Mus musculus: one gene and its partners. The protein of the gene in region 1 purifies or fractionates together with the protein of each later gene. This does not show direct contact. Links are inferred from orthologs where the notes say so. Each region holds a gene or a part of one and is shown on either strand. Other genes may lie near its edges.

Region 1 (3,425 bases):
CCTCTGATGTCTGTGTCCTCTCTTCCTGACTGTACTTGTCCATCTGACTGTCCTTTTTCTGGCTCCATCTTTCTCTCCACCTTTCTCTTGCCCTTCTCTCTCTGTGGCCCGGGCCCCAGTTCTGAACCAGCTGGAGGAATTGCTGAGCGACATGAAGGCAGATGTGACCCGCCTGCCAGCCACGCTGTCCCGAATACCCCCCATCGCAGCCCGCCTTCAGATGTCCGAGCGCAGCATCCTCAGCCGGCTGGCCAGCAAGGGCACGGAGCCTCACCCCACACCGGTAACCCTCTTTTCCCTAACTCATTTTCCTGTCGGTGCCCGTTGTACATATACACAAACCTTCCATCAGAATCCTGCACGTGGAGGGAAGCAGCCTGCTCCCCACGGTCTGCATCCCGAGTCTCCCTGCCTAGTAACTCTGGAGCTTCATTTTTTTCCCCTCCAAACTGTGGACTCCCTAATAACCCCAGTTTGCTCTCCTATTCCAGGCCTTTCCCCCGGGTCCTTACGCCACACCTCCGGGGTACGGGGCAGCCTTCAGCGCCGCACCCGTAGGGGCCCTGGCCGCCGCAGGCGCCAATTACAGCCAGATGCCTGCAGGGTCCTTCATCACAGGTTAGACGGTGCTTCTGGTGCCTTCTTCTCCCTGACTTTATCCAAACTCCATCCCTGCTTGACTCCCCTGTCTTGCTTCAGACCTGTTCCTCTTCCTTGTCAGTGTCCAGTGTTTTAGGGAGAGTTGTTCTGGGTTGTTCTGTCCATCATCCCCTTGTATCCCTTCTGTCCCCATGTCAACAACCCCAACCAGGAGGCTGAGGCAGAGCAGGGTTCCTGAGAGTCCTCAGGCTAGCCTGAGCTTCTGTGAGATGCTAGCTCCAAAAAGAAACCAGCTGGGTGTGGTGGTACACAGTAAATCCCAGCAATTGGGAGGCACAAACAGGTGGTTCTCTGTGAGTTCTAGTTCAAGAACAGCCATGTAGGAAAACCCTGTCTCAAAAAAACAAGAAAGCAAAAGCCTTACCCATCGTATGGTTTCATATCGCCCACTTGAGCTTCCTCTACCTGGTTTCCTCAAGGGGAAGTGAATGTGAATTCAGAAAAGCCAGAGAGTTAGACCTGTCACATCTTGGTACAAGAGGAATCTAATCCTTCTACATTTATAAGAAAAATCAGAAGTGGCAGGAAATGACTTAGCAGTAAGGATAGGTTGTTCTCAGGGAGTGATATTTGGAATGTGGGGGCTGACTTTTTCTTACCTGTCTCCCCAAACAGCCACCACCAACGGCCCTCCAGTGCTGGTGAAGAAAGAGAAGGAAATGGTGGGGGCGTTGGTATCAGACGGGCTGGGGCTGGATCGGAAGGAGCCCCGAGCAGGGGAGGTGATTTGTATAGACGACTGACTGGATCCCAGGCCTGCCCTTCACCTAGGCCCCGACCCCGGAGCCGACCCACATCTCAGGCCTTGGGGCCTGTTGCCAACCCTCCACCTTCCCCACCCCTTGGGCCACCACTGGGCTAGGAGCCCTTTTGCCCCTCTATAATGCCTCCCTTCAAGAGGACCCCTATCTCTCTCCACCTCCACACACCTTTCCCACCAAACCTTGAAGACTGTGCTGGTGTGAAGAGGTCTAGGTGGGAGATGGTTAACAGGGTCTTCCAAGTACCTGGATGCCCCACCACCAAATATACACAGCTTCCCAATAAATGATTGTCCGGGAGGGAGGAGGTGGAGCCTCCCAGGCCTTTCTTGTAGTATCACCTCCACCTCCTGCCAAAGTGGGGGATTAGCCTTGCCCGGCCTTTAGGAACTTCTATGAGATCATCAAAGAGGAGGGGAACCTTGTTACAAAGATGAAAATAGCGGGAGGAGGAAGGGAAGGGGGGGGGGCTGCATGGCACTTTTCCTCCCTCTTCCAAATGGAGGGTACAACAGCTACAAGTGAGAGAGAGCGAGCTGATTGCTGTTCACTGGCTCGGTTACCTCCTGTGTGTCAGCATCTTGCAGTAGGAACTGTTCTCCTCCCCAGGGACCAAGGACCACCCCACAGAGTAAGGGTTGGGTGATTCTCCCTCAAGCCAAAGAGGAGCTCCCCAGCCTGTTCTAGGTGACCTAGAAAGGGTGGGGGGAACACAGAGGGCCAGGCATGGGGCAGACCCCCACGCTGGGGCTCAGGTTTCTAGGGGACGAAATCCTCCCTCTTCAAGGCCTGGATACAGACTAAATTTGAGTAGGTCAGGCCAGGGACCTAGTCAGGAGCCTGTCTTGCCTGTGGGACCGAGCAACACAGTGGATATCAGGCTAGGGAGATTCGGGCACATTCCCCCTCCAAGGAGGGGCCAGGGAGTGGCAGTTTGCATGGGGAACCCCCATATCCTCCTTGCCGCCTTTCCCAGTCTTTCTCTCCCACTCCTGGTCTGTCCCAATCCCTTCTTCTGTATCAGGTTATCGGTTGTACATATAAATTATACTTTCCTTTCTGCGTGCTGTCATTTTTGCCTGGGGAGGGGAATTTTTTGTGTGGAGGTAAAGTAAGGATGACTGCTTTGTACTGTTTCATCTTAATAGGTTCCCTGGGGGCCCCTTGCATTGTTGTTGTTTTTTGTTTTGTTTTTTTTTTTTGAGACAGGGTTTCTCTGTGTAGCCCTGGCTGTCCTGAAACTCACTTTGTAGACCAGGCTGGCCTCAAACTCAGAAATCCGCCTGCCTCTGCCTCCCAAGTGCTGGGATTAAAGGCGTGCGCCACCACCGCCCAGCTACTAATCCCTTTTCTACTTTGTGACTTTTCTGCATTTTTATCTCTTGAATCATTCACCAGAATAAGACCTTTTTCCAGTATTAAGCACAGGATGAGCTCAGCACAGAGCTGGTGAGTGGTAGGATCCTTGAGGTCCCAAAGGCAGGTGCCAAGAGCAGAGGGAGCCGCCTGCCTGACACTGAAAGCCACCTCCCCAGAGTCAGCAGAGGTCACCACAGCACCACAGCTCCACTGTGGAGCAGACACCTTGTTTTATTTTGTTTTAAAGAACTGGGATGACTGTGGTGTCCCTGAACTGTTGGACAGAACTCCGTCTTAGTCAATAACGTTATTCAATAACAGTCTTTCACAGATTGAATGAGCCCAGATACTTTATTCTAGAGACTATTACATTCAAAATAAATTCAGCAAACATTTTTTTTTGAATACATATAACATTAACACTGCTATCGGCTCTGGAGATAGTCACTTGAAATTTATACTCTAGAAATACTCAAAACATAAAATAGCAGAAAATAAACATAGCATTCCCTTTGGCAACACGTATAGAGAAAACATACACATTCCCACAGATGCATGCTGGCCTCCAAAAGGGGAGATTTCAGCTGGAACCGAAGGACAGGAAAAAGACAAAACATTTTACAAATGGAGGTTTATACCCTAGAA
Region 2 (4,952 bases), on another chromosome or scaffold:
TCGAGGCCAGCCTGGTCTCCAAAGTGAGTTCCAGGACGGCCAGAGCTATACAGAGAAACCCTGTCTCAAAAAACAAAACAAAACAAAAAACCAACCAACCAAAACAAAAAACAAAACCCAAAAACAAACCAAAAACCAAAACCAGGAGCTCCATGAATTCTCAGAGATCCTTTCCTGGAGAAGGTTTTGCTATGCAAGAAATGAAATATAAAAAGAACTGGGTAACATGAGAGGGTTAGAGCCTGAGAAAGGAATTCCCTTGCTTGGTTAATATACACAGATTTTAACCAGCCTCTGGTGCCCAACAAATCCTCAACGTAGGCCTCCTCCTAGTCCCGTGATACCTGAGGTTATCTCAGGAAAACTCAAATGAGGGCTAGGGAATGTAGCGAAACAGAATGCTTACCTATCGAACAAATTGAACCCCTGGATTCAGTTCCGAGCCGCAAAGGATCCTGGCATGCTCAGGCACACCTGTAACTCCTAGTACTTGAGAGGTAGAGGCAGGAGGATCAGAAATTTAAAGTCATTCTTGGCTGCAAGGCAAGTTCAAGGGCAGCCTGTGCACATGAGTCCCTGTCTAAATTAAAAAGAAAAATCCAAATGAGAAACGCTTGTTTCTGTGTCTCCAGTCACCAGACTTCAAGGCTCCACTTTTGGTCACAAACTCCAAAGATGCCCTGTTTAGAAATCTTAGGTTTGACTAGCTTTCCCAAACAAAACGACTACTCTTCATTGTTATGAAATGTTACAGAATTCTCAAAAATATCTCAAAGTGCCTGGTATCCTAACAGCGAATACAGCGATGCCCAATTTGGTTTGTATGTCACCCTGGTCTAACCTAAAGGAGTAGTGCTGCCTTTTCACTTTCAACCACTCAACTACTGGTTAATAGGAGGGGGGAAAAAAAATACGAAAAACTGCCGTCACGAACAGGATTCGAACCTGTGCGGGGAAACCCCATTGGATTTCGAGTCCAACGCCTTAACCACTCGGCCACCGTGACTCCCAAAACTATGGTTGGCCGCGCGCTTACAGAAAGGGTCCGCACGGGTGACTGGGTGCGAGCGGACCGGTGCAGGGTCGCGGCCCGAGGCTCGTACCCAGAGCCGCTCCCTCCCTCGCACCTTCGCGCCACAATGCTTGAACCTGGGTCGAAGAATCGGGGCTCGCCAGCCGACTCCTAAAGCGGAGGCGACTGGCGAGACCCGAAGATCAGAGGGAGGAGACCCCTCACCTGACCCCCCCGGGTAGCACCAGGGGTGCTGGGTGCACCGGGACGAGGAGCGTCAGGGACACTCGTGGGTTGAAACAGGAATGGTTGGAAGGAACTTATTGGAGCGAAAGAGTTCCACGGGAACGTACGTGCCGGGGGCCACTCGGGGTTACGGGGCGGAGCTGCAGACCCGGGGCTCCCGGCTTCCCCGTGGAGTGGAACAGTAAGCCCCACTGCCGCTGCGAGACCAAGTCGGGGAGGGCTCCGCTGTCCTACAGCCGCGTCCTGCGAGACCCGGGGAAGCAGCCGGGCTGCCGCTGCGGGGAAGTCCGCCGAGCGCGCTCGGGCTCGCCCGCCTCCCACCGCCGCTGCTGCCGGGGTGTCCGCCGAGCGCGCTCGGGCTCGCCCGCCACCGCTACGCAGGGCCGCCGGCAGGGGGCGCTCCGCCGGCCGGGGCCCAGGCGGCGGGAGGCGGCGGTCGTGGCGGCGGGAGGCGGCGGGAGGCGGGCGGAGGAGGAGGCGGGAGCTGAGCTGAGCGGGGCGGGCGGCGGCGGGGCCCGAGCCCGAGAAGATGGCGGTGCGGAAGAAGGACGGCGGCCCCAACGTGAAGTACTACGAGGCCGCGGACACCGTGACCCAGTTCGACAACGTGCGGCTCTGGCTCGGCAAGAACTACAAGAAGGTACGCGGGCAGCGCCGCGCGGGGACAAAGGGCCCCTGGCCGCCGCTCCCGGGGCCGGCCCACCCTGCGGCGGCCGCCGCGCCCCTCCCCGAGGCCTCCCCGCGCCTCCCGCCCGCCCGCCCGCGCCCCTCCCCCACCCCTCCCCCACCGTGCCCTCTGCCCCGGTGCAGCGCAGCGGCGTTGGCGGGGGCGGCGGCGGCTCCGGGCGGCGGCCCGGGCCCGGCAGCCCTCGCCCTCCAGGCTGACCGGTGCCGCCGCGCGCCTCCTCCCCTCCGGTGTGCGAGCCGCGGGGCCCCCGCCGGAGCCCCGCGCCGAGCCAGACGCCAGAGCGGCCCAGGCCTCCCCGGTGGTGCTTTGTGTACGTCCTGAGACAGATGGCAGAGCAGGAGGGTAGACGGGCGCGGAGCAGGCCGTTGAAAAGCGTCTCTACCTGGGGAAATCACCTGTCTCCCAGGGTTACCCTAGTCTCCTTCTAAAGGGCTGCAAACCTCTCAGGGGACAGGACATGGCAGTCTAGGGCAGCAGCCCCTCCAACCCTCCTTTCATAATGAAGTCCTCTGCAAGCCAGCCAGCCTGGCATTGCTTTGGGTTTGAGGTCCAGAGGCTCGGATAAGCTTCATATCGCTAGTCCCCACCCCCACCCTGTAACTGGAAATAAGGATGGGGAACAAAAGGGTTCAAGAAGCCCTATCTATCTTTTTTTTTTTTTTTAACCAATTTTTATTCTTGTGTCTTCATGGTGTCTGGGCTTTTTTTCGTTTTTCTTTTTTGTCTTCGATATGGGCTGCTTCCTCACCAACCCCGGCTAAGGGTTCTTTTCCCTTGCTTTGTTTTACAGCCCCCAACTCTTGCTACTCCAGCCTTGCAGCCAGCCTGTCAGAGTACAGTGGACAGCTTCAGAAAGCTCCACTAATTCTGGTTTGAGTTTAGCCCTGAAACCATTTGGGGTCTCTCTGTTGGGTGTCAGACTCTTGACAAACAGCTGTTGGGTCTGTGACTTGTGTGCACCCTCAGCGTGAGGCTCTGGTTCCCAGTTTTCTGCCTTTGACCTTTTAAAGGGAGATCGGTCTAGGGTCTTGGTGTGAAGCCCCGAAGGCTTTGACAGCTGTGACCTGCTTCAGCTTTCAAGTGCTTAACTCTTTGTCATTTACTTCTCCCTTCACGGATCTCTTTATACCTCCCACCGAGAGGTGCTGACTCTAATTAGGGTAGAGGAAATAAGGGTCAAAAGGTAAAGAGAAAGTAGCTTCCTGGCTCAGTGAACAGAACAGAAAGGTAGGATCCCAGGTAGCAAGGTAGGTATGGTACGGAAGTGTTTGAGTTCACGGATTCCCGGCGGTTGTCTTACTACTTATTTATCAAGCTGGGTGGGTGGTCTGAGATCCTTGCTAGAGAGGAGACCCTACAATGCCAACCATGCCTGGCTTCAGTAGAAGCAAAATGTGCAGGCTTTAGTTTTTAAGTGAGCATGTCCTGCCTCACTCCCTTGCTCTCTTAACACACCATTATGGACGGAAGCCTAGTCTTTATCATGTTTCCCCCAAGAAATACATTGTTGTATCACTTAGAGACTCAAAGGGGTTTTTGTTTCCCTTGAGCTCCATCAACCTTCAGAATTTTTACAGTTGGTTGGAGGTGAGGTGCCGAGATAGCGGTGTCCTGCCATTCCAACGTCAGGGTACAGCCAAGGAAGAGTATAAAGCGTCACTCGCTGCCAGTCCTCAGTCCCGGTCACCTGGGCTGGTGGCAATAGGGTCCAGTCCCTCCTGAAGCCCTCTATATATAAACTAGACCTGTGGAGGGGAAGGCGCAATTCTGTCTGTTCCAGGTGCTTCCAGGAACTCACGGAGAGACGTGGGTGGTGGTAGAGAATTTATCTGGAATCTGTTTTTCTTCCCTTCCCTCCTTCCCAAGTACATACAAGCAGAACCGCCAACCAACAAGTCTCTGTCCAGCCTGGTGGTGCAGTTGCTCCAGTTTCAGGAAGAGGTTTTTGGCAAACATGTCAGCAACGCACCGCTTACTAAACTGCCGGTGAGTTCAAGGGGAGGGGGACAAATCCTCCGAACTGGGAAGAGGTTTTTCGTTTGTTTTGCTCTTTAAAAAAATTTTTTTTCTACGTGCCTGTAATCCAGAATTAGGGAGATTGAGACTGGCGAATCAAAAGTTGGAGACCAGACTGATCTATATAGCAATTCAAAGACAGTGTGTGTGTAGTACCATGTCGAAAAAGAAAAGCAAAACTCATCTTTTTCAAATTTCAAATTTTGGGGAGTTTTTTTTTTTTCCTTGTCCATCAATAGTCAGAGCATTACAGCTTGACCTAGCCCCCAGTTGATCATTCCTGTTATTTTAGAAAAACTTCACAACCCGTAGTAATCTGAGAATGTCAGGTTTAGTCCTGCAGTGTTTCTCTCTCTCTTTCATGGTTGTTCTTGGGGGCTGAAGAGATAGCTCAGTGGCTAAGAGCACTCACAGAGGACCTAGGTTCAATTCCTAGTACCCACATAGCAGCTTACAAACATCCCTAGCTTCCGTTCCAGGGCATCTGATGCCTTCTGAGCATCATGGGCATGCAGGAAAAGCACTCACACATGCAGAAGAAATAAATCCTAAACCGGGTGTGGTGGTGCATGCCTTTAATCCCAGCACTCGGGAGGCAGAGGCAGGCAGATTTCTGAGTTCGAGGCCAGCCTGGCCTACAAAGTGAGCTCCAGGACAGCCAGGGCTACACAGAGAAACCCTGTCTCGAAAAACAACATCAACAATAAAAAAGAAAGAAAGAAAGGAAGAAAGGAAGGAAGAAAGAAGCCCTAAAAAGTTAAAAAAAAAAAAAAAAGTGAGGCTTTAGGTCAGATATGGTGATACACCTGGAGTGTCCACTACTTAGAAGCCTGGTTCAGGAAGATTACTGATTCAAGCCAGCCTAGGAAACTTAACAACAACAACAAATTTAAGAAAAGGGATCCTGGAGGTATAGTCCTAACAGAGCACTTGTCTAAACTGTGAGAGGCCCTGAATTCTGTCTTTAGTAACACAAAGGAAGGGGTAGCC
Region 3 (4,890 bases), on another chromosome or scaffold:
GGGCTAGAGAGAGAGAGAACACAGTTGCTGTTCTTGCAGAATTGAGTTTCCAGCACCCTCTTCAGGCAGTTCACAGCTTCAGGGAATGTAGTGCCCTCACCTACATCATGATGCCCATATATGACTACCACCTGATAACACATGGTCACTTAGACATGTAATAACCTATGGGCATTGGTATATCACACTTGTGAAAACTCAGACTTACACAGGGAAAGTTGAACACACCTTTGTGTGCACACTGATCCCCACCAACAGTCTGATGTTCCACATCCTGGGAGACTCACAAAAGGTAAAAGACGTCTTTAATCCCAGCATATGGGAGGCAGAGACGGGCAGATCTCTGAGTTTGATGCTGGCCTGGTCTACAAAGGGCTACATAGTGAAAAGTTGTTTTAGAAAAAACAGTGGGGGGGGGGGGCTGGAGAGATGGCTCAGTGGTTAAGAGCGCAGACTGCTCTTCCAGAGGTCCTCAGTTCAATTCCCAGCAACCACATAGTGGCTCACAACCATGTGTAATGGGATCTGATGCCCTCTTCTGATGTGTCTGAAGACAGCTACAGTGTACTCACATACATAACATAAATAAATCTTAAAAAAAAAAAAAAACAGTGGGCATGGCTGAGAACATGTAACAGTATTATGACTCAAATGAAAGCTGAATTTTTCCCTTCCCTATTGAGTGCTCCTGTGGAGCCCCAGGCTTTGCATTCTACCTCCTTATCAGCCAGTTGGCCCTTCCTAGTCTGTCAAAAGGGTGTTTATTTCTCTGCCTCATTTATTTCCCCTTCCTAGTCTGTCAAAAGGGTGTTTATTTCTCTGCCTCATTTATTTCCAAGTTGTGTGGGCTGTGCTGTCATCCTCCCACCCACCCCCTAGATCTTACACTAGCAGCCCAGGCTCGGGGCCAGAGAAGTTAGATACTTACTGGCTGTTGGTCTAGGACCACACTGTTCACAAAGAAGGGAGAAGTTGATTCAATAGCCAGTGACCGCAATAAGGCCTATCGGTCTTCGTGTCTAGATTAAGGTGGCCTAAGGGACAGATAGAGGCTGAGGTGCCCCCTGACAGCCTACAGATGTCCTATAACCCTTCATAGGATCTACTTCAGCCAGCGCAACCACACCGGTTGCTTAATCCGTCAGGCAGGATTTGCGGTAGTGTCCAGAGTTCCTGACGTGCCTCAGTTTACTGGACTGTCCACAAAGCGACTCTTGCCCAAGGCACGCGTGACCGATCGCTCGGCCCTGGAGGCCAGGACCACCTGGGCCACGGACCGCACTGCCCGGAGCGGCGGAACGGCCCCACCGGCCCCTTCCCCGCAGCGGCGGCCGCGTGAATACCGCGAGAGTTCGCCCCCCTCCCCCCCGCAGTAAAACTGTCAAAGGTAGGAGGGGCGGGAGCGCGCATGTGCGCAGCACGGCGCGGAGTGTGCGCCGCCCGGACCCCGCGCCCCGCGCCCCGCGCCCCGGCCCGGCTCTGGCTCCGGCCTGGCCCGGCCGCACCCCTTGGGCGCTGCAGGTAAGCGCCGGCCCTGCCCGCTTTACCGCGGCCCCGGCGCCACACGCGCCCCGCACCAGCCCTGTGCCCAGCCCGCCTCCCCGCCGCGCCCGGACCCGCGCCGCGCCCCGCTCCCCGCGTCGGCGCCGTCCTCCCGCCTCCTCCTCCAGAAAAAGTCGCCATTTTGGTTCACTGCCTTCGCCCCCCCGCGGTCGGCGCTTCCGGGCCAGGCTGCAGCCCGCGTCCGGCCTCAGGTGACAGGTGGGTGGCCACGGGCCTCCAGGTGCGCCTCTTGGCTGCGCTCGTCCGGGGCCGGGCGGAGTGGCCTGCGTCCGCGGCAGCGCCCTCCTCCCTGGAGGCTACAAGGGAGATCGCAGGGACCCCAGGTGGAGGAGGGGTTTTCTTCCTACTCCGGCGGCCAGGCCTTACCCCTAACTCTGAAAGACTAGAAGGTTGCAGCAGGCCGTATAACCCGGACCTCAAATGTAATCGGGGTTCTGGATAACTCATTTCCTTATGAAGCTGCAAAACGAGGACATCCAGAGAACTTTAGTTGACTTCAGACCCCCCCTCCCCTCCCCTCCCCTCCCCTAGGCCCAGGATGGGGGTGTTGTCCTTGGCAATGAACGGTGATTGACCTTAGACCTCCTGGATAACGCAGCCCCTACACATCCCCTCTGATTTGAGTTGATCAAAAACTGTTAGGAGAGGACTCACCTGCTTGAACCTTGCTCTTTGGTACCGCCCCCTTCTGTGGCTTTGGGTGCCTCTGCGAGGCCTCACCATTCTATGCTTAGAGCCTTCCTCGGTTTTCAGGGTATGTGATGCTGCAAGCAGAACAGTCCCCAGAGGCCCAACCCCAGGGCAGCAGCATGCATACTCTATAGCCTCTGCTTGCCAGTATTGACTATAACTTGTTTAGCTGAAGTGGCTTCCTAGGCAGGGAACCTAGAAGCTATTGAAAATAAGAAGAAATGGTGGCTGCCTAGGCTGTGGTGGCTGAGGGTCTGATGTGGTGTATTCATCTGGGTGGAGGGGCCCTGTCTGCACAGAAGGCTGAGAAGGCAGGCAGGTAGGATAGCTCAGCATGGGACTAAAGTGTATTTCTAGTGGATCTTCACTTTACCAACCAGAGGGATGAGTGCATGTGGTGGGGACATGGGCCTTCAGGACCCATATTGGCTTCTTTGCCTAGAGAGAGGTCTTCAAGGGCTCTTATCTGAGTAGGTTAGTATTGTGTATCTAGATGGCAGGGGCCAGGACTCTGAGGAGAAGCTATCCCTGAGGTGTGGTGATGTGGCTGCCTGTGAGCCAGCAACCATTACTAGTGTTAATTGTCCCCTATGAGGAATATTATCAGTCTTCTTCAATTGCGTGGACCCTCTGAAGACAGGCTGATCCTCAGCAGCCTTTGGTCTTTGTGTGTCTAGATGAGGGTGTAGGTGAGGGTGTCAAATGTAGTAAGAGTCTTGGCTCTTTCTACACTTCTCATGTCTTCTGGGTTATTTAGAAAGACCTTGTCTGGGCAAACCCCCTTCTCTAAGTTAGAAGCTTCCATTACTTGCTTTTTGATGTGATCAATATAGGAGGTCAGGGCTAGAGAGACATATTGAGGGCCTCTAGGATAGCCCCAGTGAAAGTCCTGGGTTGAGCCTGTTCGTCTCATAGGTCTGTGTACTTACTCTGCAGAGATGACTGAATCCTTTTGTGTTGGAGGAGGCCGTCGGCTTCAAGGATCCAGCAAAAGTGGACCTGGAAAGGGAGGCAGCCGGAAGGAGGCCCAACTTCCCTTGTTGCAGGACCCACCAAAGCTAGGTGAGGAGCTAAGGCAGAAATCAGTTCTAGAGGATACAGATAGCCAGTGGTAGAGTTACCTCCTTGGGTATCCTGAGGACCTTTGTGGGGTGGAGATTGTCAGCCTTATTGTAGCCATGCTCTTGTCCTGGGTTAACTCCAGCCACTGGGCCTTTATCTGGGTGAGCCAAGACTCAGTCTGGGCCACCGCCCTTGGGGGTCGGTGATATTGGGCAACCACTGAGCCTTACTGTCTCCTGTACTATAGGGATGCCAGTGGTCCACAGTGGACATACAGTGCCTAGCCAGGCCCCACTCTGCTTTGACCCTGGAAACTCAGCCAGTGACAAGACAGAAGGGAAGAAAAAAGGGAGGCCGAAAGCCGAGAACCAAGCTCTCCGAGATATTCCTGTGAGCTCCCTGAGGGTTAGAGTGGGGTCCATTCAATTTAGTCTGTGAAGGCCACTTCCATGCCCTTACCAGCCCTCCATATATCCTGTGCCAGTTTGTTTGAGCATGTACCCTAGGGCCCTTGTGTCTGTTACAAAGTCCCAGTGGGCTGTGAGTAGTCATCAGCATAGGTCTGCAGCATGGCTTGAATTCCTGGTCTGCTCTTGAGGTTGAAGGGCTTATTTGGCTTGGGGGAACTTTAAGTCTGGGTAGCTACAGGTCAGCAGCTTGGCCTTTTCCTCTGCCCAGCTCTCTCTGATGAACCAGTGGAAAGATGAATTCAAGGCACACTCAAGGGTGAAGTGTCCAAACTCAGGGTGCTGGCTAGAGTTCCCCAGCATCTATGGGCTCAAGTACCACTATCAGCGGTGCCAAGGGGTAAGGGGCTGTGGGCCAGGGAAGAGGAGGCCTGGGGGTGCATCTGGGCAGAGGCCCCCGGGGCCCCATCCCACACCTGCCCTCCCTGCCCAGGGTGCTATCTCAGATAGGCTGGCCTTCCCTTGCCCCTTCTGCGAGGCCGCATTCACTTCCAAGACCCAGCTGGAGAAGCACCGGATATGGAATCACATGGACCACCCCCTACCTGCCCCCAAGCCTGGCCCAGTCAGCCGGCCGGTCACCATCAGCCGGCCTGTTGGGGTCAGCAAGCCCATCGGAGTGAGCAAACCTGTTACTGTTGGCAAACCAGTGGGTGTCAGCAAGCCCATTGGCATCAGTAAGCCAGTCACAGTCAGTAGGCCTATACCAGTCACCAAACCTGTCACAGTCAGTAGGCCCATGCAAGTCTCTAGGCCTGTGCCAGTCACCAAGCCCATCCCAATTACCAAACCTGTGCCACTCACCAAACATATGCCAGTTACCAAGCTTGTGACAGTTTCAAAACCTGTGCCACTCACCAAGCCAGTACCAGTCAGCAGGCCCATTGTGGTCAGCAAGCCTGTGCCGGTCAGCAGGCCCATCGCCATCAGCAGACACATACCACCCTGCAAAATGGTGTTGCTGTCCAAATCTGAGAACAAAACACTTCGTGCTACAGGCAAGAACAGCAATAAGAAAAGGTATGGGAGGTCATTTGAGGTGGTTGTCAGCTGTGCCAGGAGCGGGTGAGGTTTGCCTGGATCTCACCTTGCCTGCCACTTGCAGGGC

The links. Proteins that work in one complex are often made in the same cells at the same time.
Region 2: the proteins of Chd3 (region 1) and Smarcc2 fractionate together in Homo sapiens (co-fractionation; 3 studies listed by BioGRID, with this or other methods). This does not show direct contact. The link is inferred for Mus musculus from reciprocal best matches to the Homo sapiens genes CHD3 and SMARCC2.
Region 3: the proteins of Chd3 (region 1) and Zfp512b purify together in Homo sapiens (affinity purification with mass spectrometry; 3 studies listed by BioGRID and IntAct, with this or other methods). This does not show direct contact. The link is inferred for Mus musculus from reciprocal best matches to the Homo sapiens genes CHD3 and ZNF512B.

What each region holds. Positions count from the first base shown.
Region 1 is NC_000077.6:69,342,329-69,345,753, reverse strand, and holds the end of Chd3 (chromodomain-helicase-DNA-binding protein 3), read left to right. Parts: intron 1-119; coding exon 120-283; intron 284-491; coding exon 492-618; intron 619-1,275; coding exon 1,276-1,403; coding exon of another isoform or gene 1,404-1,522; 3' UTR 1,523-2,481; downstream 2,482-3,425.
Region 2 is NC_000076.6:128,457,540-128,462,491, forward strand, and holds the start of Smarcc2 (SWI/SNF complex subunit SMARCC2), read left to right. Parts: upstream 1-1,775; 5' UTR 1,776-1,787; coding exon 1,788-1,898; intron 1,899-3,812; coding exon 3,813-3,932; intron 3,933-4,952. UniProt on the Homo sapiens protein: Involved in transcriptional activation and repression of select genes by chromatin remodeling (alteration of DNA-nucleosome topology).
Region 3 is NC_000068.7:181,589,285-181,594,174, reverse strand, and holds the start of Zfp512b (zinc finger protein 512B), read left to right. Parts: upstream 1-1,713; 5' UTR 1,714-1,754; exon of another isoform or gene 1,755-1,761; intron 1,762-3,189; 5' UTR 3,190-3,191; coding exon 3,192-3,315; intron 3,316-3,562; coding exon 3,563-3,705; intron 3,706-3,993; coding exon 3,994-4,122; coding exon of another isoform or gene 4,123-4,215; coding exon 4,216-4,802; intron 4,803-4,887; coding exon 4,888-4,890. UniProt on the Homo sapiens protein: Involved in transcriptional regulation by repressing gene expression. Associates with the nucleosome remodeling and histone deacetylase (NuRD) complex, which promotes transcriptional repression by histone deacetylation and nucleosome remodeling.